Linked DNA regions of Macaca fascicularis. The protein of the gene in region 4 purifies or fractionates together with the protein of the main gene of each other region. This does not show direct contact. Links are inferred from orthologs where the notes say so. Each region holds a gene or a part of one and is shown on either strand. Other genes may lie near its edges. The genes, in order: CLGN, LGALS3, RAB6B, SLC12A6 and STK39.

Region 1 (5,489 bases), on a different chromosome or scaffold from region 4:
TCACATTGATGGTGAATTGTATTATCACTAACTTGTAGTTTGCCCCTCGCCTGCTATAAAGGTCTTATTTTAAGAAGTAACAACTTTATCTGGAAGTCCTAGCCAGAGCAATCTGGCAAGAGAAAGAAATAAAGGACATATAAATTGGAAATGAGGAAGTCAAGCTATCACTGTTTGCTAATGATATGATCGCATACCTAGAAAACCCTGAAGACTCATCCAATAGACTACTAGACTTGATAAATGAATTCAATAAAAGTCTCAGGTTACAAAATCAATGTACACAAATCAGTAGTACTGCTACATAGCAACAACGACCAAACTGAAAATCAAATCAAGAACTCAATAACTTTTACAATAGCTGCAAAAAAAAAAAATAAATAAATAAAATCCCTAGGAATATTCCTAACAGAAGTGAAAGATCTATATAAGGAGAACTACAAAATACTGCTGAAAAAAAATCATAGATGACACAAATGGAAACACATCCCATGCTCATGGACTGGAAGAATCAATATCTTGAAAATGATCATTCTGCAGAAAGTCATCTATAGATTCAATGCAATTCCTATCAAAATACCAACAACATTTTTCACAGAATTAGGAAAAAAATCCAAAAGTTCATATGGAACCAAAAAAGAGCCTGAAGAGCCAAAGTAATCCTAAGCAAAAAGAACAAATCTGGAGGTATCACATTACCTGACTTCAAATTATACAAGGACATATTATCAAAATAGCATGGTAATGGTCTCAAGTAGACACACAGACCACTGGAAGAGAATAGAGAACCAGAAATAAAGCAAAATACTTACAACTAACTGATCTTTGACCAAGCACACAAAAACATAAATTAGGGAAAGGACACCCTATTTAATAAATGGTACTGAGAAAACTGGCAAGCCACATGTGGAAGAATGAAACTGGACCCTTACCTGTCACCTTATACAAAAATCAACTCAAGATGGATTAAAGACTTAAACCTAAGATCTGAAACCATAAAAATTCTAGAACACCAGAAAAACTCTTCTAGACATTGACTTAGGCAAAAAATTCAGGACAAAGAACCTAAAAGCAAATGCAACAAAAATGAAAATAAATAAATGGGACCTAATTAAACTAAAAAACTTCTGCACAGCAAAAGAAATAATCATCAGAGTAAGCAGACAACCCACAGAGTGGGAGAAAATATTAATAACCTGTGAATCTGACAAAGGACTAGTATCCAGAATCAAGAGACTCAAACAAATCAGTAAGAAAAAAATTAATCCCATCAAAAAGTAGGCAAATGACATAAATAGACATTTCTCAAAAGAAGATACAGAAATGGCCAATGAACATGCTTAGAAAATGCTCAACATAACTAATCATCAAGGAAATGCATATTAAAACCACAATGAGATACTACATTACCCCTGTAAGAATGGCCATTATTAAAAAGTCAAAAAACAATTGGCATGGATGTGGTGAAAAGGGAACATTTATATACTGCTGGTGCAATGTAAATTAATATAGCCTCTATGGAAAACAGCATGGAGATTTATTAAAAAACTGAAAGCAGATCTACTATTTGTCCAGCAATCCCACTACTGCTTCTACTGCTTTTTCTGTGCATATGAGGTGGTGTCCTTTTTGGACTAGATAAGCATATAGACATATATACACATACACACACATATATGTGTGTGTGTGTGTATGCATGCACAGGGGATTTGCTGGGATGGCGAACACGATGCAAAGGAAGACATGTAGGTATGACCTTTATCTTACACTAAACAGAAACTATGAAAAGGAATCAGACAGCTGACATCCAACATACTATCTGTTTTGCTGTTGTGATGTAACTGCTTATTGGGGTCTGAGCGCAAGGTCACATGTTTATGAGTATGAGGTCCTCTGAGAAAGAAGACATTACCACTATCAGTCACTGTGAGAAGAGGCCGATCGTGATTCAGCATATAACAATCAAGGAGGCTGGTTTTTAGATCACAAAGAAGAAAATAGTTGGTTATACTCTAAGGTAGTCCTGTTACGGAAGACAATATGACCCCTGCCTATAGGACATTTCTTTCTAGAGCTAAGACTGAAGATAATCCTATTAGACACCCTATGATAATGGATATAGGCCTGGAGATGAGGATTCCAGAAGTAGCCACATATCTTGTAGCTCTCATTAGTTATCCTCTGCTTTTTACTTGCTAGGAGAATCTTACCATAAATTATAATTTGATCTAGGTGTGTCTAGGCTTGAGATGAAACCATAGAGACAACAGTAGCCTGGGAAATACTGCTTCAGGAAATGCAAAAGACTAACCAGCAGTAGAATGAAAATTCAACTGTTCAGTTAGAAAACTAGATTAACTGGATTAGGAGTGAGATTTTCAGAAATAGCAAAGGGGTTTTCAGAAATATTGAAAAGGGACAAGATAAAAGACTGAACATTTTATTGCGAGGCAGCATGGGGGACTCCAGCCAACACCATTTAACAAAAATATAATCTCAAAAGTTAGTGAACTCCAGGCCATAGCGGTTATATCTAATACTTAAATATTTTACCATCGTATATCGAAATCTCCTCATCCATGTCATCTTTCTTTGCTTTTGATAAGACCCATCTGTAAACAAAGTTGAACATACATATATGTCATTAACAATAAAATCAGCAACTTATAGATATAATGCATACAGAAACACAACAAAAGATCACCCAATACAGTCACTTTTCATTCAACAATAAATTCATACTTAGATGCTAAATAAGGATGCCTTCACCACATAATCCTGGAGGACTAGAGTTAAACCGAATTTGGAATCTATAATTTCCTAACTGTATGATCACAGGTAAGGTACAAGGAGCCTCGGTTTCTTCACTTGTAAAATGGGGATTAAATATGGTAATTATCTATTTCTTTTTAGGACATCTGACACATAATAATTTTAATATTAATTTTTGTTTTTTCCATTATTGTAATAGAACAGTACTCATATTTGTCATCTGAACTTAAAGAGTGTTAATATCTGTCCTACAGAATGAATACATATGATAAATTTCATCTTTACATTCAGAATTAGTATATTTTCTTTGAATAAATAACTATTCAAATTAAACATTCTATCAATTACAAAAATATACTAAGTACTGATTTACATTGTCAATTAAACTACTTTAATTTTTTTTTTAGATCTGTAATAGAGGTAATTTTCACAGGTCAAAACCTAATAACTTCAAAAAAGCTAATAAATCAAAACATTCTCTTGAATGAATACTCACCCAGCCAACCTTCCACTATCAAAAGTTTCTGCAAAATATACTTCTCCTATAGGTTGAGGTGTCTTATATTTAATCTAGAAAAGAGATTTTCCAAGTCTAAAGTTATTCATTTTCACAAATATTTCAATTAAATAATCTTCCTAGTGAAGAACATAGTATGCAATGCACATACAGGTAATACAGATATGAGGTGACAAACCCATACCTGTACAAAACTTTGTATCCTAGTAATGATAAGGTACAAGAAAATATAAGAAATACCATGATGACAAAAATACTATACATACAAACAGTGGATACACTGACCCCTTCTAACACAGAAGGAACAAAGGGACTCTGACAAGTGACAATATTTGTGGATAAAACTCTTTGGGAGCAAAGGAAATAGCATAATGAAAAGCATATAAGATGTAGAGCTTAGTAAGCACATAGGCTTTTAAAATTAACTCTTAAGTTTTACTGTTAGGTACCCTAAAATATAATAATATAATTTTACAAGATTAGGAACCCAGAGAATGAAAAGATTCTATGGAGATAGCATTGCAAAACAATGATCAACAAAGCATTGTTTCAAGTGCCTTTGAAGTGTTAGCTGTTAGGGTGGCAATAATGATGACGGTGGCAGTGGTATTGCTGGTGATATAGTGGCTCCTTTAATTCTTATAATATTCCTATGGGGGAAGTACCATTTGTGCCCTCTTTATATATGATGAAATTGGGACAGACAAAGTAACTTGCTTACTGCTGTCCAGTTAGATAATTGTAGGACTTATATATAAAGCCAAAACTGTCTGATTCCAAAGCTCATGCATTTTTACTACATGATACAGAATTTACCAACAAAATAATTTAAAAGAGTAAAGACTGATAAACTATCAAAAGATAATTTAAACTGAGGACCAATAAATAAAAATTTGCCCACAGTAATAGGTTAGTCTGGATCCTCTCAGAATCAGCCTGTTGTGATTGTATCTGTATGACTAGTGAGATTTCTTCCATTAGGCTTTAGGGAAAAGGGTGCAGAAATACTTTTTCTATTTTCACTGTCCCTATCCCACCCTGATAGTAAAACACTTCCTGTCTATTTAAGGGGGTAAAATCGGTAATTACACAAAATTCCACAAATTACTGACAGGGTCAAGATTCAGCTACCTAAACTGCCAATCTTCTATGAAGTTTACTGAATTACAACTTTACTGTTCTCTGTATTTTTATAGATTGACAAAATGGGCAACAGTGTCACAAGAGACTTCCTTCTGATAGGCCACCCCTAAAATCAGTTTATTTTGCCCTTTATTTATACTTCACCCTATGTAGATTACTCATGCTATAAAATTAGCAGCATCAAAAATAATTCTTTCCCACTTCTTATCATATTCTCAAAGTATCACCAAATAAGTCAAGAGTGGTAGTTACCTGTCAATTTCTTTGAAGTATTAATATTAACCTTCAAAGATCCTGTGGTAACTGTATCTAAGTCAGTAATTATTAGTACTTGGAGTACTTACTTTCTGCAGATTATAGAACTAGGCTTTAAAAAATTGTCCTTACAGAGCTTAAATTTAACAGGGGAAACATACTATTCACCTTAGACAGTGAAATAACACATTTGCAAATGAAAAATTCTTAATAAGAGGAAATGAAGTAAAGAAGTCTGTAACAACTACATATTATTCCCTTTGGCCCTTCAAACAGTAGCTGGCACAATACAATTAATGCTTTCTCACCATCAAAAATATTTCTGATTATCACAAGGTTAGATATGAATATTTCCCAATGTAAAAGCTCTTATGTATCATCAAGGTATACAAAAATTCCTGCAATTTCTCAGACTCCTGTTGATCACTACTCTAAAATACATGTTTTAACAATGCTGAGACAGAAACATGAGTCAGGTTTACCAAATGCTCACCCCTCACCATCACTTCCTTTTCTAATTCATCCTCCTTCTTGGCATTTTCTTTCCTCAGAGAAATAAAGACAAATACTTTACTTCTTGAAGAATTGCAAATTATATGGCCTTTTATTTGAAAAGATCTAGCAGTGTCAGAAATATGAATAAAAACCTTACTACTAGCTCAGTTCTCTGTAATCAGTGACAAACTCCTCTTTTTTTTTTTTTTTTTTTTTGAGACGGAGTCTCACTCTGTCGCCCAGGCTGGAGTGCAGTGGCCGGATCTCAGCTCACTGCAAGCTCCGCCTCCCGGGTTCACGCCATTCT
Region 2 (5,965 bases), about 110 Mb from region 4:
GCCCAAAGTCATCTGTCATTGGCAGATCAAGGAGTAGGGCTCGTGTCTTTTTACTCCTTATTTAGGCTCATTCTACACCAATAGAAAATATCACACTTTGAAATTTTAAAGTACAGTCCTTTGAAAGTGTTAATTACTTCACTGGGAAATTAATTCTCTGACTAACTCATCTGTAACTACATAACACACTGAAATTGTAAACAAAATTTAAAAAGGATTGTGTTTTGGTCAGAAAACTAACTGGGTGATTCATTCAAGCACAAAATAATATTGAATATTTAATACAAGAATGCCATTTTGTGTAGTCACTTTGCTAATTATAACCATATTTTAACCAATAAAGTGTACTTTCCAAAAATTGGGTATGTACGGTTTTGATTATGTCAACTTCCAACCATGAGATTTCTTTTTTGAAAAGCATTATAGGCCGGACGCAGTGGCTCACACCTGTAATCCCAGCACTTTGGGAGGCCAAGGCGGGAGGATCATGAGGTCAGGAGTTCGAGACCAGCCTAGCCAACATAGTGAAACCCCATCTCTACTAAAAATACAAAGAATTAGCCAGCTGTGGTGGCAGGCACCTGTAATCCCAGCTACTAGGGAGGCTGAGGCAGGAGAATTGCTTGAACCCGGGAGGCAGAGGTTGCAGTGAGCCAAGATGGCACCACTGCACTCCAGCCTGGAAGACAGTGCAAGGCTCCATCTCAAGAAAAAGAGGAAAAAAAAAAAAAAAAGCATTATAACTGATGCTCTTTTGAAATCAAGATTATTAACCTCAAAACTTCCAGGAAAACAAAAAAAGACATCTATTCAGATAAATATCATCCTTACTTGCCTGAAAATTTTTTTCGTTTTTCTTTTCAGATGAGTAGTTTACAGAGAGAGACATACAATCAAATGTCAGAAATCCTCCCACTCTACAGACACTATAGATATGTGAACCCCATCCTGGTGTTTCCAGGATCAGATAATTTTGAAGAGTCAGAGGGAAAAAAAAAAAAAAAAACACTTCAAAAAATAAACTAGAAGTAGAGAAATACTAGCTGGGTCTCCACATTTGTAAACACCTACAGTAAGCAGTTCAGTGTAGCTTTGGAATAAGGAATTTAAACATGAGTTAGAATACAGACCATTTTAATCAGTTAACTGGTAGCTTTTCCCTTTAACAAAGCGTAGCTGCGCTATGCTATTCTAGGCCCACCCAGCAATCAGTCTGGTTGTCTGGGTTCCCAGGAACACTTCTGAAATTTCTGCTCATAAAGGTCCCTGACCTGTACGCAAGCTGTAACGGAAGAAGACTGTTTCCTGAGCCCCTAGGCACTGCCCCACACTGCTCCTCAAGTAGCACAAGAGGCAGTCTACTTTCTGTCCTTGCTGAAACACAGAGCAGGACTTGAGGAAAGCCCATTTTCCAAAGACAAATTCAGTGATGCTAAGTTGGAATAAAGAGAACTGGTCCTTTCCTAGGATTTCTTTCTCATCATAGCTCCCTGGCATCAAGGAAGGTAGAGTTACTTTCTGCTTCTCAGTGACTGATTTTTTCCCGCTATGGAAAAGCTGAACAGGGGTCAAAAGAGAACACATGACACTTAGTCAATAGCGAACTGGAAGTATACAGCAAGCACTGCCTAGCCTGGCTCTCAAGTTACCCACTCAGAATTTAATGAGAAGATCAGTTCAGGCACCAGACACAAGGAGCTACCCTTGAGTGGGAGCCTGTGTCCCAAACGACAGGAAAGAAGAGCTATGTTTGAGATCAGTTACCGCAAGTATCAAGTACGTAAGTTTACAAGTCACTTGGCATTTAAGGTCAACACGAGATTCTGAAGGCATACTACATGAACATAGGTCTCGGCTGCAGTTAAGGTTTATAGTCTGGCTAATGAAAGTTCTATGTAAAAAGGTACCTAAATTATACATGAGACCAGCATTAGCCTCTTGACCTCACTAAGTGAAAAGTCTTTATAAAGCACCTATGCATATTTGTAGCACAGCGAACTATCATAGATTAAAGACCTCTTAACAGAGCAAGACACCTATTCTACTTGGACACAACTAGTTTTCAGGGTCAATCCATCAGGCGGTACTCGTCCTCTTGTGCTTCTTACGTAACTTTTGAGGCATCCTCCTAGCACTTCTAAGTGCTAAATATTCAAGGACCATCATCAAACTTCTCCCCAGAATCTGGACTAAGTGCTGATTTTAAATGTCACCTCTAAATATGAATTTAGGAAGCTGCTTAAATCCCCCAAAGATCAAGGATGGGGTATGATCATCCCTAGAATGAGAGACCCTACCCTAAGGATTTAGAGTCAATGTCTAAAAGGGAGACCATTGTTGGAGAAAAGTAAATAATCATTATTCAACTTTACCTTTCGTGGAAACACACAATTTCCTAGCATGAAATGTTTATAAACTTGAGGTAGGCCAGGCGCAGTGGCTCAGGCCTGTAATCCCAGCACTTTAGGAGGCCGAGGCGGGTGGGTCACCTGAGGTCAGGAGTTCGAGACCAGCCTGATCAACATGGAGAGACACCCCCATCACCACCACCACCATCACTAAAAATACAAAATTAGCCGGGCATGGTGGCGCATGCCTGTAATCCCAGCTACTCGGGAGGCTGAGGCAGGAGAATTGCTTGAATCCAGTAGGCGGAGGTTGCAGTGAGCCGAGATCGTGCCATTGCCTGGGCAACAAGAGTGAAACTGCGTCTCAAAAAAACAAACAAAAAACACAAAAAACAAAAACCTTGAAGTAAACAAATCAGAACTTTGGAAGCTGACGACAGCTTTTTCTTCTCAAGCTCTGTGCCCAAGTGGTTCATTGTATCAGCCTCATTTTCTTCAGAATTAACTGAGCCTTCTCCCATTCCTTTCCCACAATCCTAGAAACAGCCTGGGTCACTGAGGTCCAGGTGTCCTCATTGTGCAGCAACCCAACTCCCAGAGTCACTTTACAAACATTCCGCAGTCTCTGGAATCGGCATGGCTAACTTGAAGGGTAAGACTGAGGCCTAAGTCCCAGCCTCCACCATGCGTCCCCGATTCCCTGGCCCTTAGTGCCTACTTCTCAGAGGGCAATCGTTTTAGTGTTTCTATTTGAGCACCCAATAATTCAGAATAAACTCTCAAACATGTTTTGGGAGTCCCCCGCTAGGGCTCTGCACACTAGGACCAACATTCTGCCACACCCAACACTTCCTCGGCACAGACAGTCTGGGCAGGGAAGGGCATTTGATTCGGAAAAGCTTAAGAGTTTGCAGTCTTCGCTAAGCCGGGTCATGCCCACTCAGGCCATGGGGCAAGCACCATTTCTGTGGGATTAGCAACCAGAGAGCGGCTGCAGCCCGGCCGCAGCTGGTCCTCGTGGAAGAACTCATTCGCGCCCCACAGAGAGATCTCCTCCGAGTCCAGCCTCAGCTGATGCTCAAAAGGGGCCGGGCGAGCCAAGCTGTGGGTTCCGGGAGGCGCCCTATGCAGTCCTCAGAAGTCCCTTCGCTCCCCCGCGGCCGAGCTCTGGGGAAGGGTTACCCGGCCCCAACCCCAGTTAGAGAAACTGGAGCGGCCGTCTGGTTTGCTGAGCGAGTCCCTCCGCCTCCCCTCGCAGCGGGACCTGGCAGGACTGGGGTGACCAGACCGCGGCTCTTCACCGGATGGGGCTTACTCCGGGGCCGCAGAGCGCAGCCGGCGGAGGTGCGACGGCGGTGAAGCCCCCGAGGCTCCGCAGAAGGTGGCCCGTGCCGCCGCGGGGACGTGTGTGGGTCTCGGAAGGCGCTGCCAACCTTTCCCGAGCGCCAGCGCCCTCAAGAATCAAAGGCGACCGCCCCGGGCCCGCCGCCCCGCACCCGGAGGGCAGAGCACAGGCTGTGGGGCTCTCCGCGCGCGTCCCGGCCTGGTCCCGGGGAGCCGAACCCCTCCGAGCCGCGCCCTAAGCAGCGCCCGGGCGCACTCACCCCTGCCCGGCCGGAGCCGCGTCCCCAGCGCCCCGCGCCGCTCACCGCTCGTTGGCTGGTTCCGGACGGCTGCTAACGAGGAGGTGCGGGCGCCGGCGGGGCGGTGGCTCCGAGCCTCAAATACTCCCAGCGCCGCCCGGCCCGCCTCTCCCGAGGCGGGGCGGCTCCCCTGCCCAGCCCAGCCTCTCCCCGGACCATGCTGGGCGAGCCCCGCGTCCGCCTGACACCCCGCGCCGCCGCCGCAGGGGCGACCAGGAAGCTCCCGACGGGCAGAGCGCGGGCTGAGGGGCGCGCCCTCTGCCACCACCGTTCGGTTCCGTGGCGCTCCGGGGGCCTGGGCTGCGGCCGCGTCTCTCCCCCGCCCTCTCCAGAATCACCTGAGTGAAGAATTCACTGAGGGGAATTCAATTAATAGGTTGCTTTATTTGTAGAATACAAAACCAAAAACCTTTTCAATGTCTATTGCCTAGGGAACTGACTACAAATTGACTACTTATTCTAGATCAATAGGCCTAGTCTCAAAGCAATTCCCTTATGAAGCAATTAGACAACTCTTTAACACATTTTGCACAGGAAATTCACATTATATATATATATCCTCCTTTTAACTTCACCTTATGTTTTCGTTGGAAGAAAGAGATAAGTATTATTATCTCATTTTTACTCTCAGGGTGCTATAGTCTGAATGTTTATATCCCGCCAAAGTTCATATGTTGAAATCCTAACCCTCATGGTGATGTGTTAGGAGGTGGAGGCCTTGCGAAGTGATTGGGTCATACGGGCAGGGTCCTTATGAATGAGATCGGTGCCCTAATAAAAGAGGCCGGAGAGAGACCCCTTGCCACTTCCACCATGTGAAGACACAGCCGGAAGGCGCCCTCTGTGAACCAGAAAGCAGGCCCTCACCAGACACCAAATCTGCTGGCCTGGGGATTTCCCGACCTTCAGAACTGTGGGAAATAAATGTATATTATCTATAAGCTACCCAGTTTATGATATTTTGTTACAGAAGCCCAAACAGACTAAAAGAGAAAATGATTTACTTATCCAAGCTCACTCATGTCTAGGAACAAAATCCAGAAATCCTGACTCTTAAACTTTATCTGGAAAAGCACCAGGTCAAAGAATCCTTGCAGGCCAAAACAAGGATCTCTGAGGAAAAAAAAAAAATTAAGGGGGGTAAGGGAAGAATCTTTGCAGGAACCGGCTTATGTAACCTATGGAGAAAACCAGTTATCATCTGGTTCCTAAATAATTCCTGTAGCCCTTATAGTAACCAATTAATAACATAAAGATAAATTATTTCCTGCAGTTTTTCAGCTTAGGGATATGTTCCTGTAAGGGACTCACTTGATGGAATTGAGAAGCTGTCTTGGCATTCTCTAGGATAAATTTGAAAGTGTCTTAGTGGCTGGCACTGTTCCTGCAACATTGTCCCCTCTAGGCTTGCACATAGAAGTCACAGTGTGGCTGGGGATTATTTAATGAAAATGTGAACTCTTACCTGAAGACGTGGCCTGGCAACCAATTTATTTGAATAGATCACCATAGTAAATGACTAACCTCTGGGTAATAAAAAGGTGTCACCCACAGGAATGCCCTTGGTCTCCAAGGAAAATGCTATAAATCTTAAGACTTTGAGTCATGAGGCCTCATGGCCAGGCGTGGTACCCTTAGAGGGTTAGCCATTGGTAATAAAAAAAAAAAAAAAGTAGATAGCCAAATGAATTGCTGTGGAGGCAAAGGAAGAAACACACTCTTGCCTTTTCTTCTGGTCATTTCGGAGATAGACGAAGTTCATGCCCTGGCTACTTAGGGGGCTTGCTTACACCTGATTGTATGATCAGACATCCTTTTGGCTTCACTTCCTTACTTGTGCATCCCCATGAATACTTTGGTGCCAACTTCATGCCCCATAAAGCTAACAAAAGGATCCTGATATGATCAAGGTGTGCCTGGGAATTTATAATTTGTACACATGCAATAAACAGCTCTTTATTACCCAATCCAAAG
Region 3 (6,247 bases), on a different chromosome or scaffold from region 4:
CTTGAGGTATTTCCTCCAGAGCGGCTTCTCAAGGGCCTCCCATTTAAACCAGTTCCCTGATATCTTTAAAGACCTGATGTCCAGCCGGGATTATCTGACCCAGGGTGTGCTCCACCCCCTGGTCCATGCACGCCGCTCTTCTTGGAAATCCACTGCCGTTGCCCACCAGCCTAGAGAAAAGTCACCATTATGCTAGGCACAGGAAATAAGATAAAGCCACATCCCTCTAGCTCCTTCCCCTGGCCCATCTCCAGGGGACTCGGCTCATATCGGCAAGCCCATGTTGCTCTGAAAGATTCTGCTGAGCTCAGCGGGCCCAAGTCCCCCATGTACAGAAGGTAAAGGAACTCTGAGGTCATATAAAAAGAGCCAGGGCCAGCATGAGGGCCAGCCCTCAGGAGGCTCTCTCCACTGCACAGGCTGCAGAGAATGCTGGCACAAATGACCAACAGATGCAAAACTGTGCAGGCAAGGTAGAAGAAGCGGCTGTGGAGGTGACTCCCCATCCCATAAGGCTTAGAGACGCACATGTCCCCTACCTAACTCAAAAGCTCTGTAAAACCTAAAACAACCCACTAACGATGCAACAAAGTGGAAACAGGAAACAGGCTTTTTGGGGCCTTGGAACTCCCTGACAGAAGGCACCAGGTGAGATGCCAGTAGCCATCTCACCGACAGCAGTGATTCTCTAATGACCATGTTCCAAGGGCCCACAACCCTGCTCCTGACCAACTACTCAGCATTCCTATCAGTCACAGGCCCCAGCTATAAGCCTGGCCGTACAGAAGCAACCCAACTCCCTCTTGGGGAGGCTCCCCAGTTGTTGGCTTCCCCAATTCAAGGTCATCTTACTTCACAATGACACGCTAGTGAAAAATATTGGACTGGAAACGAGAGGTGAGGCTCCAGCCCAGAAGTATTAGCAACTCACAATGGGACTCTGGGACTCTGGGCAAGGCCTCCCTGTTCCCTGGGGCTCAGACTTCCCATTTGAACATGTGGGAGAGGTGGTGGGTTCATTTCTTAGACTTCAGCTATCATTTCTGTGCTTCTGGGAGCAAAGGGGGTCTGTGGAGCCCAGCAGGGGTCTCTGTTCATCAGGAATTCTGAGGGAGCCCAGATGTTCCCTGAAATTCACCAGAGACACTTTATTCACCAAACTCCTAGTCCTTTCTAAAGCTTTTGCAGACTTAGAATAATCAAATGTTTGTTGAGAACCTACCAGGGTCCAGGCACTTTGAGAGGCACTAAGGAAACATGAAGAAGTAAAAGAATTGTCTTCAAGCAACCATTTTTCAGAGACAGAAAGTGAGTCACAGAGAGGCCTCAAATTTTACTAAAGGCAACACAGCTAAGAATTCAACTCCCAGGCTGCCTGATCCCCACAGGTTATCTCCCAGGGCTCCAGGCCCGGTGAGACTAGCACTGGGATGTGAACACCACCAAAATCCCTTCCAGACACAGGGAATGGTCAGCTCCATGAAACTGGGATCTACTAAAACAGGCAATCAGAATCCAAGGCAAATGCTGGCTGGCTGAGAGGATCTTCTGAAACACCCAACCTGGCCCCCAAACCCATCTCCATATTGGGCCTGGACACTACCTTCTAACGTCCTTCTCTGAATCATCCATCTCAGGCAATGAGCATCAGCAGACAGGGGCCAGTCACATGACCTCCATAACCCTCATGTACACACAGCACGGTAGCACTGTTCATGGCCCACCCAATCCTCCCACAGTTGCCTTTCTTTTGGACCCCCTTGTCAGAGAGGGTCTGCAGAGCCAGAGCTGGGGTCCTGCCCGACAAGGACAGCCTTCTGGGGTCCTGCTCGGCAAGGACAGCCTTCTCCCAGAGCAGAGCTGACCAGAGCTCAGTTTGTCTCCCTGCAGCCCCATTCGAGAGGCCTCTGGAAGGATGCTCCGAAAGCCACTCCTTCCTACAGGTGGCAGAGGGGTCCCTGCTCTTCAATCTGGGCTTCCCGCCTCGGGACCAAGCTGGTTTTCAGAGATGTTTTCCTGGGGAGGGAGCCAGGCAGCAGAGAAGCAGTCTCCCCCTCCCCCAGCTCTGGCCGGCTGCCACGGTGACCTCCCCTCCCCCAAGAAGGGCGGTGAGCTGGGAGGTGGGGGTGGGAAGAATCCACCGATGCTCTCAGGAGGAGTGCTGGGAAGCAAGGCAGGGCGTGTCGCCTGGGCCTTTCTCTGCCCAGAGCCAGACTTCACAGCCTCTCGGTGTGAGCTGCCCCTGTATCATTCCCCAGATCGCCTCGAGTTGGGGTAGCCTTCACTGTCATTGCCAAGACCCCTGAACAGCAAGGAGGCTACCGAGCGCTGGCGAAGGGCACCGGGTCTAGAACCTTCTGTGCCCAGTCGGACGTGAGATAGGGGAGGTAGGCGCCCCGTTCCCTCATGGCCTGCACTCGCTCTTTGGAACAGAGACAGGTGCCGGTCTTTTCTCCCCGGTGGCTATTTGTCCCAGCGCCTGGACGTGCCCTTTCGCATGGTTACCGGCAGAGTCCGCAGGGAACCCCCCTCCAGTGCAGCGGAGTGGGGGTCGGCCAGACCCCAGTTTCGCTTCGTTCTCCAAGGGGGGCGCCCGTCGCTCTCCCCACCCCCGGCAGCACCCAGCCACCTGCGCGGTCGCCCGCAGCCGGTGCCGCAGTGTGAGCTAGCCAGCGAGCCCGGGTCCTTCACGCCCTGGTCCGCGCGGCGGAGCCAGCCGCCGCCCTCCGAGCTCCCTGCGGCGCCGCACCTGCACCCGCACCCCGGGCCCCCCACCCAGAGCCCACCCTCACCTCCACCCCGGGCGCCAGCACCTCCTCCGTCCTCACCCTTGGCCCCTCCCCAGTCCGACCCCGCCCGAGCCGGCCCCGACCTCCCCATCCCTGTCCCTCTCCTCTATCCTGACACGGAGAGGCCTTTCCGAGCCGCGGCCGGTGGTCCCAATGGGGTGGGCGCTTGGGCGACGGGGGTCGACTCGGCGACAAGCCAAGAGATTAAGCCGGGTACTTACCGCTCTGCTCCCCTAGGAACACCAACTTGAATTTTCTCAGTGGATTCCCAAAATCTCCCCCTGCGGACATGGTGGTGGCAGCCGGGGCCGGGAGAGGAGGAGGAAAAAGCGAAGGAGCAGGGAGGGGAGAGGAGGAGGGCGAGGGGAGGCGGCCGGCGGTGCGGGAGCCGGAGGGGGAAGGGCTGGCTGTGCGCGTCCCTGACTCCCCAGCTGCGTCCCGGCCCCGGCCTGCGGCTGCGTGTCCGGCGGCGGCGGCGGCGGCGGAGGAGGAGGAGAGGGAGGAGTAGGCGGAGGAAGGCTGGGGCTGGGCTGCTGCGGGCGGCACTGGCTGCGGTGCGAGGGGCGCGCTCTTTACGCCCGAGGCGCGGCGTGGGGAGAGAGGCGCGGGCGGAGCGGGGCGCAGGGACGGCGCGCAGGGACGGCGCGCGGGGCGGAGGAGCGCTCTCTAGAGCCGCGCCAGTCGGCCCCCTCCCGCCTCCCTCCTCTGCCGGCGCCTGCGCTCTGCGCTCTCCCCAGCCTCTGATGTCATGCGGGGCCCGCGGCGCTGCGGGGCTGGGGGGCGTGCGCCCGCCCACCCGAGTCCGCACCCGGGCAGGAGAGAACCTCCTCGCTGTACCCCTGAGAGGCCCCCGGGTCGGACCGTCTCTCACTGCCCCGCTGCGTCTTTCTCACTCTACCCCTCTTTCGATCCAGAAAATGACACGAAATTGTCAGGGGACTTTTGTTTCTGGTCTTTTAAACCTAGATGCCAGTCCCTTTCTCCACCTCGCGAGACACCGATGCACAGCGCAGTCGTCCGACAGGGCGGAAAGGAACGAAGGTGGGGGAGAGCCAGGGTGTGGCGAGGCGCTTCAGGGCGGGCAGACCTAGGGAAACCTGGCGTACTTGGCGCAGATGGAGCTCGACTCTTGCCCCGTGTGGCTTCTAGCCCGCCCTCCCCTCTTGAGGCCTAGACCGTTTATTTGGGCGGCCTCTTGTGGGGTCTGTGGGTGCCCCCGCAGACCTGGCCAGCGAGAGAAGAGCTGCCAATATAGGGCGCGCCTACCTCAAACCAGCTGTTCATTTGGATCATTTTATGCTAAATCATAACCTGCCCCATGGGAGAGAAGGAACGGTGACACTCTGAATGCCAGTGCCACTATCTCCAGGACAGTGCAGTGCCCTGCGTTTCTTGATCCTGGGGTCGCCAGGCTGACAACGCCACTCCCCACCCTGGCAATTACGTGTATCTGGACAATGAGCTCTCTGAGGACACGTGGGTGACCTCTCCTTGGCCTCTACTCGCCTGGTCCATCAAGGCACGCAGACCAAGCTGTGAGTGGGTAAGAGCAAAGAGCAGAAGCCAAGCGCTAGAAACACTCCCAGGACAGCCCGAGCCTAAGGCATGCTGGTTAATTGAGGTTTGACAAAGCTGCCCCTTACTCTTCTGCCACAGCGCGGTCTTGTTCGTTTATGGCTGTTCAGTGAGCATTTATTTGAGATAATAGTCTGCATGTTGGTGAACACGATGGTGTGTGCACGCATGTGTTATACAAAGAGAAAGAGGAGTGAGACACAACCTTCATCTCCAGATTTCTCGGACACTTGTTACCCACTTTTTGACTGATGGGGCTTGCTTGGGCAAGCCTGTCTGTCTCCCTGGTGTGCTCACCTCGAATCTCTCTTCTATTTCTTGTTAAAAACTTGCCCGCAAGTTCCATAAAAGCAGTCGTCCTGAGGACATAGCTCAGAGTTTAAGAAATAGTTGTTGAATGTTCCAATGAACATCTAGAACTCAAATCAAAATAACTCCTATTCTCATAATCACCTTTAGTTTGGAACGTCAAGGGTTGTAAGTCATCACCTAGAATATCTGCCCCATTGTGGCTGGCACCAGGCTCAGGGTAACCCTCCAGACGCCCACCCACTTCTTTGGGGCTCCTGCTCTCTTAGGAGACCATATCCAGCTTAGGGCTGAAGAAAGCTCTAGAAGGAGAGGAGACTCCCAAGTCACAGCCTGTTCTGTCTCTGTAAGTGATCCCTCCAAAGAAGGGCCAGGGAGCTACTGGCCAAGGTACCCAGCCATGCAACACTCCTCCAACCTGCACCTTCTCCTAACATCTGGTGCTGTCTCCCTGTACCTTCTCATCCTGACCTGAGGAGATCATCGGTGGCAAGACAAAGCAGCTGAGGTGTGCCAGAAAAGGCAGCATCTTTTGGGTAAGCCTTGGCAAGTCCTGTACCTCCTCTGATCATCTGGTCCTGCATATATAAGGTGGTATGGCAGTAGGGGAGGGAAGTTTGGGGCAGGGCCCCTCTGGGCACCTCTAAGCCTCCAAGTCATCCCATATGCTTACCAGGTCCAGCTGGGCTAATTATGGTCCAGCTTACCTTGGGGGACTCTGTCATAATCTGCCAGTTCAAATGACAAAAACCCGGCTCCGACTACTGGGCTGGCTTATGTAGCTGGAGCAGATACTGGCATTGTCTCAGAATGCAGTCATCATGCTGTGGAAATGAGAGCCGTAGAGACTCCAAGTTTGCTCTGCTCCAAGTCTCTCTCCTCCAACTATCATTGATTGTCTCTCTTGATTTTGGGTCTTGTCCTTAACCTGCCCTAGAGCAGACAGGCTTTCTCCAGGTGGAAGATGTTGCCACTAAACCTCAGCTTGGCAACCTCACTAGAAAGAGTTTCTTCCAAATAGCATCTGTGTGTTCCATTTTTAAAAAATCTTTAAATCTTCCTATTTAGTATGTGCTGTGTATATGTAAGTTACAAAGAAAACCCATCACTATGAGTGCCCATTTACCCTCTACACAACTGGAGGCTCAAATATTACAGTACTTTTCAGGTCCCCAGGTGTTTTCTTCTCCTTCCTCTTCCCCAACTTGGAAATCCAGAATCTTGGCTTTTCTTTGAGTTTTATCACATTTGGATGTGCCCTTCACAATACTTTGTTTTGTTTTGCATCTTTTGAATCTTATGTAAGGTATCAAACTGTGTATTCTGTCCTGACTTGCATGTTTATTAACATCATGTTTCTGAGATCCATTTGTTAATTCATGTAGCAGCAGTTCTTTCATTTTCACTGCTGGTTAGTATTCTACTTATGCCCCAATTTTTAAATGATTTTCAGTAAAATGTGTCATTTAAAATTTTTATTTTATTTTCTTAGTGTTGTTATTATTTTTGAGATGGAGTGTTGATCTGTCACCAGGCTGGAGTGTAGTGGCACCATCTTGGCTCACTGCAACCTT
Region 4 (5,489 bases):
TGTTGCTGCTGCTGCTGTTGTAGTTAAGTCTCCCCAGTCCTGAAGGGGTTGTCATGAAAGATTTTTGGCTACCATCCCATATCTGTCCTCTCATAGCTAAGAGCTCATTAATTATGTCCCGTATGTACCCACTGCTACATTCTTCTTTGCTAACTTTCTCCTCGTTCCCTTTCTGTCTTCACTTACCAATGGTGGACAGTGATGTAACATTTATTGGGCAAAAATTAAAATCTTCAACTAAGTTTTAATGCCTCTGATCCTCTTTCTAGCTTTAATGTTAGTTAAAAGTTCTTCATGAGGCCGGGCGCACTGCCTCATGCCTGTAATCCCAGCACTTTGGGAGGCCAAGGCGGGCGGATCACCTGAGGTCAGGAGGTTGAGACCAGCCTGACCAACCTGGAGAAACCCCATCTCTATTAAAAATACAAAGGTAGCCGGGCGTGGTGGCGTATGCCTGTAATCCCAGTTACTCGAGAGGCTGAGGTAGGAGAATCATTTGGACTCGGGAGGCAGGGGTTGCAGTGAGCCGAGATTGCACCATTGCACTGCAGCCTGGGCAACAAGAGGGAAACTCCGTCTCAAAAAAAAAAAAAAGAAAGGTTCTGTATAACTTTGTTTGTTGCTATCTTGCCTCTATTTTTCTCTTTCTCTTTACCCTATATTTTCATTACATCCTAGTTTTCTCCAAATTAACACTCCTATTCATTCTTAAAAATTTATCACAGAGCTAAGAAGTTCATTCTGTACACAGAAAAACTTAAGTAAATATGGTTGTCTACCTAATTTGTGTGGTCAAAACAAGCAATTAATTCATTACCGTCTGCCAGGTTTCTCTTATGTACAGTCCAAAAATAATTTTTCTTTTTCTTTTTTTTTTTTTTTGAGACAGAGTTTCGCTCTGATGCCCAGGCTGGAGTACAGTGGTGCGATCTCGGCTCACTTCAAGCTCCGCCTCCTGGGCTCACGCCATTCTCTTGCCTCAGCCTCTTGAGTAGCTGGGACTACAGGCGCCCACCACCATTCCCGGCTAAGTTTTTGTATTTTTAGTAGAGACAGAGTTTCACCGTGTTAGCCAGGATGGTCTTGATCTCCTGACCTCGTGATCCACCCGTCTCGGCCTCCCAAAGTGCTGGGATTACAGCCGTGAGCCACCACGCCTAGCCCAAAAATAATTTTTCTCAGTGAGTTCTGCAGTTGTGCTAATAAATGTTTATAAACTTTTTAGAAATATTTATATGAAAATTTTCAAAAGATCCTAGAGTTATTAACATTTCTGGCTGTGTGTCCCATCCTGGCTTTGCCAAGTAAGTATTAATTGTCCTCATAACTGCAGGTGACTGATAGTGTTGTTATTTACTTAGTTTTCCAGCAGTTGGAAACATAACAGCAGCTGGTCTGTTGCAAAGGACAGTTTGGGATTTAGTGCACATCTACTGACTGTTTCATGATAAGACAACTGTAGAACTGAGAATAAGCATTTAGAAACTTTTGTGGCAGTGTGACATTGCTACAGCATCCAGGCATGTGATGATTTTTTGAATAATTCATTTTCATTGCATTTTATAAAAGTTATATTTATAATAGTTTCAAAGTTTTTAAAAAATAATCCCTCACTACAGATAGTTTGAGAAGCACCTCTAACAAAAGCTTCTTTTTCAGCTACTTTAAAAGATACTTTTTTGTATTTGTTTTTAATTTTCTAGGGCCCTTTCTTTCATGGGAATGAGTATCTGTCTGGCTCTGATGTTCATTTCTTCCTGGTATTATGCCATTGTAGCCATGGTAATAGCTGGTATGATCTACAAGTACATTGAGTACCAAGGGTGAGTGTGGATTTAATCTTGATCACTGCTAAAAGTAGCAAGACTAGCTAGTTTGGTTAGAGCCAGCTCAGTGAAAATACATTAAGGACCCAGGTAACTTCATTTTCATAACTATATTTTGTACCCCTAATTCTCTAACCGTCTTACTGATGCAAGCTTTTCATCACAAGGGAAATCCATTGAGAAAGTATGAATGGATCAATGGAAAATAACAAAGGACATATCCAAATAATAATGATTAGTACTAAACAAAGTATAACACAAATATAAATATTTTTGCTTATCTCTTCAGTCAAGGGATTGTCTCTGAAATGAAAAAGAAATTAGTTCTGAACAACTTTGTAACTACTAAGACTTACAACTTTCAAAAATGAGGACTCATTCATTCTTATTCAGAAGATCACATTGAACTTTACTTTCTCTGCATTATTTTCAAAGTAACTTAAACTCCAGGTCTGTTATAATTTTCTAATCTAAATTGCTCTTTTACATTATTGTTTTGAACAATTAGGTAGAAGGACTGAATGAGTGACCCCTTCAGGCTTTATTCTGAACTGTTTGTGCAGTGCAGTCTGTTGGTGCTGTTGATCTGCCTACATCGGGTTCATTATATTAGTAAAGAACATTATGTAAATCATTAATCTGAGCTTTAATCTTCTACCTTGCACATGTGTGATTTTTAGATTCAGAAAAAACTTTAGTTTTTAAAAGTATACTTACTATAGTTTAAATTTGTCTCTGCTCTTTTCTTTTTCTCACAGAGCGGAGAAAGAATGGGGTGATGGTATCCGTGGGCTGTCCCTCAGTGCAGCCCGGTTTGCTTTGCTTCGGTTGGAGGAGGGACCTCCACACACTAAAAACTGGAGGTAAAGAAATCAACACTAGCGGTATTTGGCACATAGTTAACACACAAAAATATGTGCTTTGTTGATTACAGGATAAGGAAACCATGTGGCTCAAGGAAATGGTATAATGGACCTCTTTTGAACTATTCTAAATCCTTAATTTTTTTATTCCCTTTTCTTCATGTCACTTATGAGCAAGATTTCTACAATTTATTATTCTTCACAATTTATTATTCTTCCTTGAAGACTGATCAACTCGAGATAGTACTGGGAGCGTTCAAACTAATACCCTCATCCTGTCATTTCCTGTGATTTCTTCCTTCTGTCAAATTACCTGTTTCATACAGATCTCCTGAATTACAGGGTGGAGTCTGTCATTCTGTTCCCCAAACCCAAAATGTTTTCTCCTCCTCTCCAACCCCCACCAACCTCTTCACAGGCCTCAGTTGCTTGTATTACTGAAACTAGATGAAGACTTACATGTCAAGCATCCTCGCCTCCTCACCTTTGCCTCACAGCTCAAAGCAGGAAAAGGTCTCACTATTGTGGGCTCTGTCATCGTGGGGAACTTTCTAGAGAACTACGGTGAAGCTTTAGCTGCTGAGCAGGTAAGAGTCAGACTTTGATGTATTGGAACTCAGCTTACAGCTTTGTGATGTTAAGTAGTAAGACCTCAAACTTCTACTTGAATCTTGTTCCTGAGTGATCTAGGAGGTTTCTCACTTAGTGCTGACCTTTGAACAGACACTTTCTCCCAAATAATAAGATGAGCCAGAAAATAGTTATTTATTCTTTCTTCCCATTTAAAGCATTACTAAATTATAAGATGATTAAATCTAAACATTATTTTCAAATATACTCTAAACATTAAGCACTGAGAAAAGTCATGTAAGTAAATTGATCCCTTGAACTATGGAGAGGGTTCCTCTCAATCTTGTGGCAACGAGTAATGACCAAATTTTCTTCCTCTTCAGTCTATGTGGCATCATGAGCAAGATTCCTTTGCCACTTCTGGTTAGCTGTACTGAACATTAAAGTTCTACTTTAACAAGGAAGTTGTTTTCACTCTAATATTTATTATATATGATAGAATTAATCCTGTTGTTTTTGAAATGCCATTGTGTTCAGTGTGTTCAATGGCATTTCAAAAGTCTTACTGGATTTCATTTTGGAATACTTTGAAATCCTAAACACTAGAAATGCTGAAGAAACATTACTCCAGAATGATGGTAAAAATTAATAAAAGGTACCCAGGATTGAAAATCATGAGATCCTAGTTGTCAGCCACATCACTGATTTAATCTGTGCCTTTGCAAAAGTCATTCCATTTTCCATACCGTTATTCCCTTCCTTTTCCCACCGAGAGGGTGGAGTAAGAGTAAATGCGATGATATCTCCAAATTGGTTTGACTAAAGGAAGAGTAATGCAAATACAAGTGTCATGAATAATCACCATTAAAATGTCAAAAAGCATATGGGAATGGGAGAAGCAAAAAAGAAAACATACCTGAGAAAATTCTAAAGTGAAACTGAATCATCATATTGAGTTTCTGGTAAGATGAGTCAGGGCATGACTGGGGCTGAGGCAGGAAGGAGATCTTGTTCACACTAGTGAATCACCCTGGTCAACTGGGAAAGAATGTTGAATATTCACTTTGTAGAGATCCCTGTTCCCAGTTTTTTGGTATGGTGCAAAGGAACAAAAGCAGAACAGAGGAAAAAGCAGAGAAACTACATGTAGACAACCAGCTACAGAGGCAAAAATATGTAGTAAGCACTTAGAAAGTGAAAAAGATAAAAGATCATGAAATTCCTTTGGGATAATTTTAACTTTTTGGACTTTTCTGTAGACGATACAGATTTATGAAGACTTTGGAAAAAGGTAGGGGATATAATACGGAGAAGGAATAATGGGTTAAAAGGTCCAGAGTGAACCACTTCAGTGTTGCGGTCCTGTGTCTCTTTCAGACCATAAAGCACCTAATGGAGGCAGAGAAGGTAAAAGGATTCTGCCAGCTGGTGGTGGCCGCCAAGCTGAGAGAGGGCATTTCCCACCTTATCCAGTCATGTGGCCTTGGGGGCATGAAGCACAACACAGTGGTGATGGGCTGGCCTAATGGCTGGCGTCAAAGTGAAGATGCCCGCGCTTGGAAGACTTTTATTGGTACTAACCATTTCTCATACAAACCTAAGGGCCTGAGTCGAGGGGATATAGTTAAATCTCTGTCACCCCCAGCCTCCTAAAAGAGATTATGCCATTGCTGAAGCATAGTCTTATAAGGCAACCTGAAAAACTACTAGTAGTCTGGTAGTAATACCAGATTCTACCTGTCCCCTTCAGCTTCACATCATGTTCATGAATTATTTATTTCTGTCAAGTCTTGTGCTAGGAATTATCTCCAAAATTGCCATGTTTTCATTTGTGATTTTCCATATTGATGTTCTCACAGAAATTGGAAGAATTGTTCTTCAGCATCATCATCTCCCAAATTCACATATCCCCCCTTAGAAATGTAGTAATCAGAATATACCCTGTAACATAAACTGTGGTTCTCAGTCTAATTCTGTTAGCTATTCAGATTTTTCACAATGATTTTTCTTATGTAATGAGATAGAATCTAAGTAAATAGGACCCCTTGCTCAAAGAAGTGTGAAGAGAGCATTTCCTTGCTTTCCTGACATGCTAGGAAGCAAGGCAAGCCTAAGGATTCTTCTCTGCTTATTCTTTTTTCTCCCTAGGCACAGTTCGAGTGACAACTGCTGCCCATCTCGCACTGCTGGTGGCTAAAAACATCTCCTTCTTTCCCAGCAATGTGGAGCA
Region 5 (5,489 bases), on a different chromosome or scaffold from region 4:
CAGTAACACCTACCTTTCCAAGGACACATTAAAAATGCTTTAAGGCAATAACCTTATATTACAGTTAACACTTTAAAAATTCAAACTTTAAATACTGTGTTAGTTCGATGTTATGATCAGGTCAGAGAATATGGGTGAAATTAAATGGGAATTCCAGAAAGCAATAGTTCCAGAGAGGCCAAAGCTGTACATTTAGGTGCCTGTCAAGCAGCCCCCATACATCTGGAAAATGGCCATTCCAATTTCTGTTATTACACAAGCATGAAGTTGCATACTCAAAAAGATACCAAGGATGCCCCGGATGACTGGAACACAAAGTCCTCAGCACATGCCAGGCACAGAAAAGGCATAGCCCTCTCTACACTTCAATTCACTTAATTCCCACAACCACCCCACGCAGGGGCTTCCTGCCTGAGCCCTTCTGAACTCAGCAGCCCCCCGCAGTGCAGGCATGTATTGGGTCACAACAGACACCTCGGCAGTGAGGAAAAACCCAAAGGCCTGTGACAGAGGGAAAAAGTCAGGAGATCTTACCTCGGGGATTCCTACTGGGAAAAAGAAAAGGACAGTGTGTTCCAGAAGGCTCAGGAAGAGGCTCAGATCATTAATCTGACAAGAATAATGGGAAGAGATGACTGGCAGAAGACCAAGTAACAGAATAAGGCAGAGGTTGACCAGCCTTCACATTTCAAAGGCAGTTCACTATCTTGACCCTTTTTGTGAGAAATCATCATTTCATCATAAAACAGAAAATTAGTTGCACTTCCTTATCAGCTTAGAGCAAGATTAATGGCAAGTTAGCTTCCAAATTCCATAATTAATAAGTATCACCTTTTGATAAGTCATAAACTCTCCTCAGAGCTGAAGCTCTGGCAGGACAATTCCAGGTTCACATGATCTCCAGTCAGTGCAAGGGAGTATCAGTGTGATCCTCTTAGTCATAGTAACAGAAGTAACAGTAGTAACAGTAGCAACAGTAGTAGCAACAGCAGCCATGGTAAAACAGTAGTTATTGATATTTGCTGCATGCCTATTATGTGTCGGCCACTGTTGAGATCACTGGACCTTGATTTCACCAAAGAAGATGAAGTAGTTTATATTTTTACCCCTCTTTACGGAAACTGAGTCTTAAGAAGGTTTGGTAACTTGCCCAAGGTGGCAGAGCTACTAAGTGGTGGCCTCAGAATTGTGACCAAGTCAGCTGACACAGAGCCTGCACTCTGAACAACTAGTTAGTTTGGAGAGTTTGAAATTTTGGGGACTGGATAGTTTGAAATTTTTGCCCACAGATGTTTTTCAGCTGTTACTTGTTTAACTGAAGTACTTATTCAAACTGTCCCTAGCCTGTGGGATAAAGTCCACTCATCAGGACAAGATATGCACACACAAAGCACTAACTCAGATGGCTCAAGAACAAAATCCAGCATCCACGATGAGGAGAGGCACCAGAGTCAGGGGGTTGTCGGGGGTGGAGCAGCAGATGAATCAAGAATTGCCAAAGATTGATAATTATTGAAACCAGGTGATGGGTACAAGTGGGCTCATCTTCCTCTTCTCTGCAATGACAGGGTCAGTCCAGTATAGGGAAGGACTGTCTGGCCAAAAAATGCCAAGAACACCCCCTAAAGAAACCATGAAAGCTAAAAGGATTGCTGAGACAGACTTTCAACAACATGGGTAAAGCAAGAGTTAATATGGACGTGGCTACATCTTATCTCAGGCCTTTAAGGCTACTCTAGGGCCAATAACAAAATAGAGGCTTTGAACACGGAAGGTGCTCACCTGATATTGCGTGTTCATGCAACATTCATTCATTGCATCCCCAGTCTACCAGCTTTGTCAGGAATAGCCATGTTGGGTCAGAGTTAAGAACAAAACATGGCCCAGATTTTTAATGTTCACAATTCTTTCAGATACCTCTTAAGAAATAAATTAGTTTTTAATTGATGTGTATGATGCTTTAAATTTTCAAACCTATCGAAAAACGTTTTTACAAGTGCATTTCTTGAAGTTATCTGAGTATTACCATTATAAAATGTGAAAGGCAGAAAACATAGTAAAATTGAAAGTAAAATTGTTCTTTATCAAAAAGCTATGTACTAAAATGGTATTTTTCACAGGATGATCTAATGACTTATCAAAACAATAAAGAAAACATGTTATCCTTCAGACCCAAACATTCTGTAAGTATCATTCTTAAAAGAGATTACATGCATTTATTCATTTCTCAGGAATGATTCGACATGCCTTGAAACTGTAACACTTCTGTAATCAAGTAAAAAAAATTTCTATTTATCAGTTTTACCTGCTATTTGTACTGAACCATCCTCACCCAGAAGAATATTACCAGCTTTCAAATCCCTATTAGAAAAAAAAAATAGAAAATAAATTGTAGGGTACAGACTTTATAGTGTATTGATTCACTCAGGAAGATTTTAAAACATATCATACAATGTAGCTCTTTAACATAATAATTTCATAAACATTAAGATTATATCACAGATTTTAAAGGTTAAAAGGATAGGCTGGGCATGGTGGTTCACACCTGTAATCCCAGCACTTTGGGAGGCCAAGGCGGGTGGAGCACCTAAGATCAGGAGTTTGAGACCAGCCTGGCCAACATGGTGGAACCCCATCTCTACTAAAAATACAAAAATTAGTTGGGCGCAGTGGCAAGTGGCTGTAATCCCAGCTACTTGGGAGACTCAGGCAGGAGAATCACTTGAACCCGGGCCAAGACCACGCCACTGCACTCCAGCCTAGGCAACAAGAGTGAAACTCAGTCTCCAAAAAAAAAAAAAAAGGTGTAAGGATTCAACTGTCATTTTATAGTTTACTCCTGGGGGAGAGTTAGCATTTTAGAAAGAAATATTTTCTATGAAATAATTATCCAAATTTAATTAAATCTTCAGTAAGTAGACTCTCTATTTTATGCTTCAGAGTTAGAGACTGCCCAAAAACTCACACTACTGTCATTCTATCAAGTATTAAAGCCCAGTCTATGTAAAGCTCCTCCACTTCCACTTCAATTTGGGGTGCAATTCCAAGTTAATTCTCTTTCTGAAAAATGAACTTCTCTCCTCTGGTGAGAGACTGATTATAAATACTAATTATTATATAGTATATTTCTTCACCATATAAAACCTGTGTAATCTTAGTACTTTGAAAAACGACAATTTGCAATTTATAAGTTTGATTTCTAAAGTAATTTTTTTTCTAATTATTGAAAAATATAGGCCAGCTACAGTGGCTCACGCCTGTAATCCCAGCACTTTGGGAGGCCGAGGCGGGCAGATCACCTGAGGTCAAGAGTGGGAGTCCAGCCTGGCCAACATAGTGAAACCCCATCTCTACTAAAAATATGAAAATTAGCCAGGCATGGTGGCAAGTGCCTGTAATCCCAGTCACTCAGGAGGCTGAGTCAGGAGAATCACTTGAACTCGGGAGGCAGAGGTTGCAATGAGCTGAGATCATGCCACTGCACTCCAGCCTGGGCAACAGAGCAAGACTCTGTCTCAAAAAAAAAAAAAAAAAGAAAAAAGAAAAATATAGTAGAAATAATTAAATATAAATTTCAGGGTAGGAGAATTACATTATTAGTATTATGGGTAGATGGCTATTTACTTGCAATAATTCCTAAGAGCCCAAGTAGCACTAACTCACTTGAAACATCAAGTACTCCTATTCTATGTGATTTGACTATATAAAGAATTAACATTTTATGTCACAAAAGATGTGTGCCTCCTCCTTCCCTCTCACCACCACATCAAAAATAATTCACATATTACAATGTTTGGATAGTCTTGCTTGTATTAGAAAGATAGAGGTGCTATCTAGTTCAATTAGTATAATTCAACAGTAGTTACCAAGACTGATTTTTTAAAATGAGTCCATGTGTCCTTTTTATATTCCACTCTTATTTCAGTGAAAGCCACTGAAGCAATCCTCAAGGATACCAATATAATTCATCAAAATGTATTCACTTGTTTCTTTCTTAAGTATTTTTTTCCCATCTATTTAGCCTAAGTTAATGTCAATACCTGCCTGCAACATGTGTTTCCTTAACATTCTTTATAAACTAGGGCTGAAGATATGAACAGCTCATTTAAACATTTCTGCAGGGGTCATACCTGTGAATCTGACCATTTCTGTGTAGATAGTCTAAGCCTTCCAAAACTTCTTTAAGAATTGTTGCTATTATTGCCTCTTCCAGAACTCCGTTCTTGTGTTCTCCTCGGTTGACAATGTATTTTATGATATCCAACATTGAACCTAAGTAGACAAACAGAAGAATTATCACCTTCATCACCTTTTCAGAACAAGACTCCATTATGTATAAAATGTGATGGAAACATCAAAATATGGGCTTTGTTTATTTAATGCAAATATTCACAAGGCAAACAAACAATTGAATGACAGCCCCATGACCAAAAACACTAAATCCAAGTTTGCAAGAGCACTTTCAGTGTGAATTTAATGAGAAGGATTCTGGGTCAGGAACCAGAAGGCTGTTCATGGCCATTCCATGGTTGGTTCCTTTTCCCTAGAAATACTGGTTACAGCATTTCTCACAAAAATTCCTAAGAGCAACCCTCCAAAGAGGGTGCAAAAAGTCTGAACTGACAAAGAAAGGAGTATGAGGCCAGGAGAAAAGGCAGAAGCGAACTGCTGAGAGAAAAAACCCCACTCTCTGAGGACCTAAATCATAGTTGGGAGGGGGAAAGAAGGATGTTGTTTCTAGACCTCTGTTTATAACCAGAAGATTCCTTCCTGTGACACTGCATGATCTTTATTTTCTCTCCTTCTTTTTCTTTTTTCATTTGAGAAAGAGTCTGCCTCTGTCATGTAAGCTGGAGAGCAGTGGAGCAATCACAGCTCACTGCAGCCTCAACTTCCCAGGCTCAAGCGATCCTCCCACCTCAGCCTCCCAAGCAGCTGGGACTACAAGTACATGCCACCACGTCTGGCTAATTTTTCTATTTTTTGCAGAGATGGGGTTTCACCATGTTGCCCATGATGGTCTTGAACTTCTGGGCTTGAGAGATCTGCCCACCTCAGCCTCCCAAAGTGCTGGGCTTATAGGCATAAGCCACTGCACCCGGCTGATCTTTATTTCATTTACCTTATATATTTGAGGCACTAACACTTACAGTAAACAAACAAATACCTAGTACTTTGTTACCATATACAGATTAGTATCCTTGGCACTGTGAATTCATGTTTCAACACATATTAATTAGTATTCCAAACCCCTGGGTCAGTTTAAAAGCCAAAATTACCTGGGGGTTTGACATTTCTGAAGAATTAACAAATGGCTTACCTCAGGACCTGAATTTGGCTCTAGGCTCTTTATAATTAACTAAGAGGACTGAGCTTCCCCATCAGATATAGCTGCCTGCCCCTCATTAAGAGATTCAATGTAATGAAATAGAAGAAAACAAATGCATATTTTTCCCCAGAGGGGGGGAAAAACACTCTGTTTATTTGTT

The links.
Region 1: the proteins of SLC12A6 (region 4) and CLGN purify together in Homo sapiens (affinity purification with mass spectrometry; 3 studies listed by BioGRID and IntAct, with this or other methods). This does not show direct contact. The link is inferred for Macaca fascicularis from reciprocal best matches to the Homo sapiens genes SLC12A6 and CLGN.
Region 2: the proteins of SLC12A6 (region 4) and LGALS3 purify together in Homo sapiens (affinity purification with mass spectrometry; 3 studies listed by BioGRID and IntAct, counting the BioPlex papers as one, with this or other methods). This does not show direct contact. The link is inferred for Macaca fascicularis from reciprocal best matches to the Homo sapiens genes SLC12A6 and LGALS3.
Region 3: the proteins of SLC12A6 (region 4) and RAB6B purify together in Homo sapiens (affinity purification with mass spectrometry; 4 studies listed by BioGRID and IntAct, with this or other methods). This does not show direct contact. The link is inferred for Macaca fascicularis from reciprocal best matches to the Homo sapiens genes SLC12A6 and RAB6B.
Region 5: the proteins of SLC12A6 (region 4) and STK39 purify together in Homo sapiens (affinity purification with mass spectrometry; 3 studies listed by BioGRID and IntAct, with this or other methods). This does not show direct contact. The link is inferred for Macaca fascicularis from reciprocal best matches to the Homo sapiens genes SLC12A6 and STK39.

What each region holds. Positions count from the first base shown.
Region 1 is NC_088379.1:145,556,294-145,561,782, forward strand, and holds part of CLGN (calmegin), read right to left. Parts: intron 3,343-5,489; coding exon 3,269-3,342; intron 2,613-3,268; coding exon 2,554-2,612; intron 1-2,553. UniProt on the Homo sapiens protein: Functions during spermatogenesis as a chaperone for a range of client proteins that are important for sperm adhesion onto the egg zona pellucida and for subsequent penetration of the zona pellucida.
Region 2 is NC_088381.1:122,988,487-122,994,451, reverse strand, and holds the start of LGALS3 (galectin-3), read right to left. Parts: upstream 4,044-5,965; 5' UTR 2,373-4,043; intron 1-2,372. UniProt on the Homo sapiens protein: Galactose-specific lectin which binds IgE. May mediate with the alpha-3, beta-1 integrin the stimulation by CSPG4 of endothelial cells migration.
Region 3 is NC_088376.1:36,799,982-36,806,228, forward strand, and holds the start of RAB6B (ras-related protein Rab-6B), read right to left. Parts: upstream 3,431-6,247; 5' UTR 3,081-3,430; coding exon 3,011-3,080; intron 1-3,010. UniProt on the Homo sapiens protein: The small GTPases Rab are key regulators of intracellular membrane trafficking, from the formation of transport vesicles to their fusion with membranes. Rabs cycle between active GTP-bound and inactive GDP-bound states.
Region 4 is NC_088381.1:10,527,389-10,532,877, reverse strand, and holds part of SLC12A6 (solute carrier family 12 member 6), read left to right. Parts: intron 1-1,703; coding exon 1,704-1,823; intron 1,824-2,115; exon of another isoform or gene 2,116-2,276; intron 2,277-2,584; coding exon 2,585-2,689; exon of another isoform or gene 2,690-2,739; intron 2,740-3,107; coding exon 3,108-3,276; intron 3,277-4,518; coding exon of another isoform or gene 4,519-4,554; exon of another isoform or gene 4,555-4,569; intron 4,570-4,636; coding exon 4,637-4,832; intron 4,833-5,407; coding exon 5,408-5,489.
Region 5 is NC_088386.1:63,713,217-63,718,705, forward strand, and holds part of STK39 (STE20/SPS1-related proline-alanine-rich protein kinase), read right to left. Parts: intron 4,273-5,489; coding exon 4,131-4,272; intron 2,362-4,130; coding exon 2,306-2,361; intron 1-2,305. UniProt on the Homo sapiens protein: Effector serine/threonine-protein kinase component of the WNK-SPAK/OSR1 kinase cascade, which is involved in various processes, such as ion transport, response to hypertonic stress and blood pressure.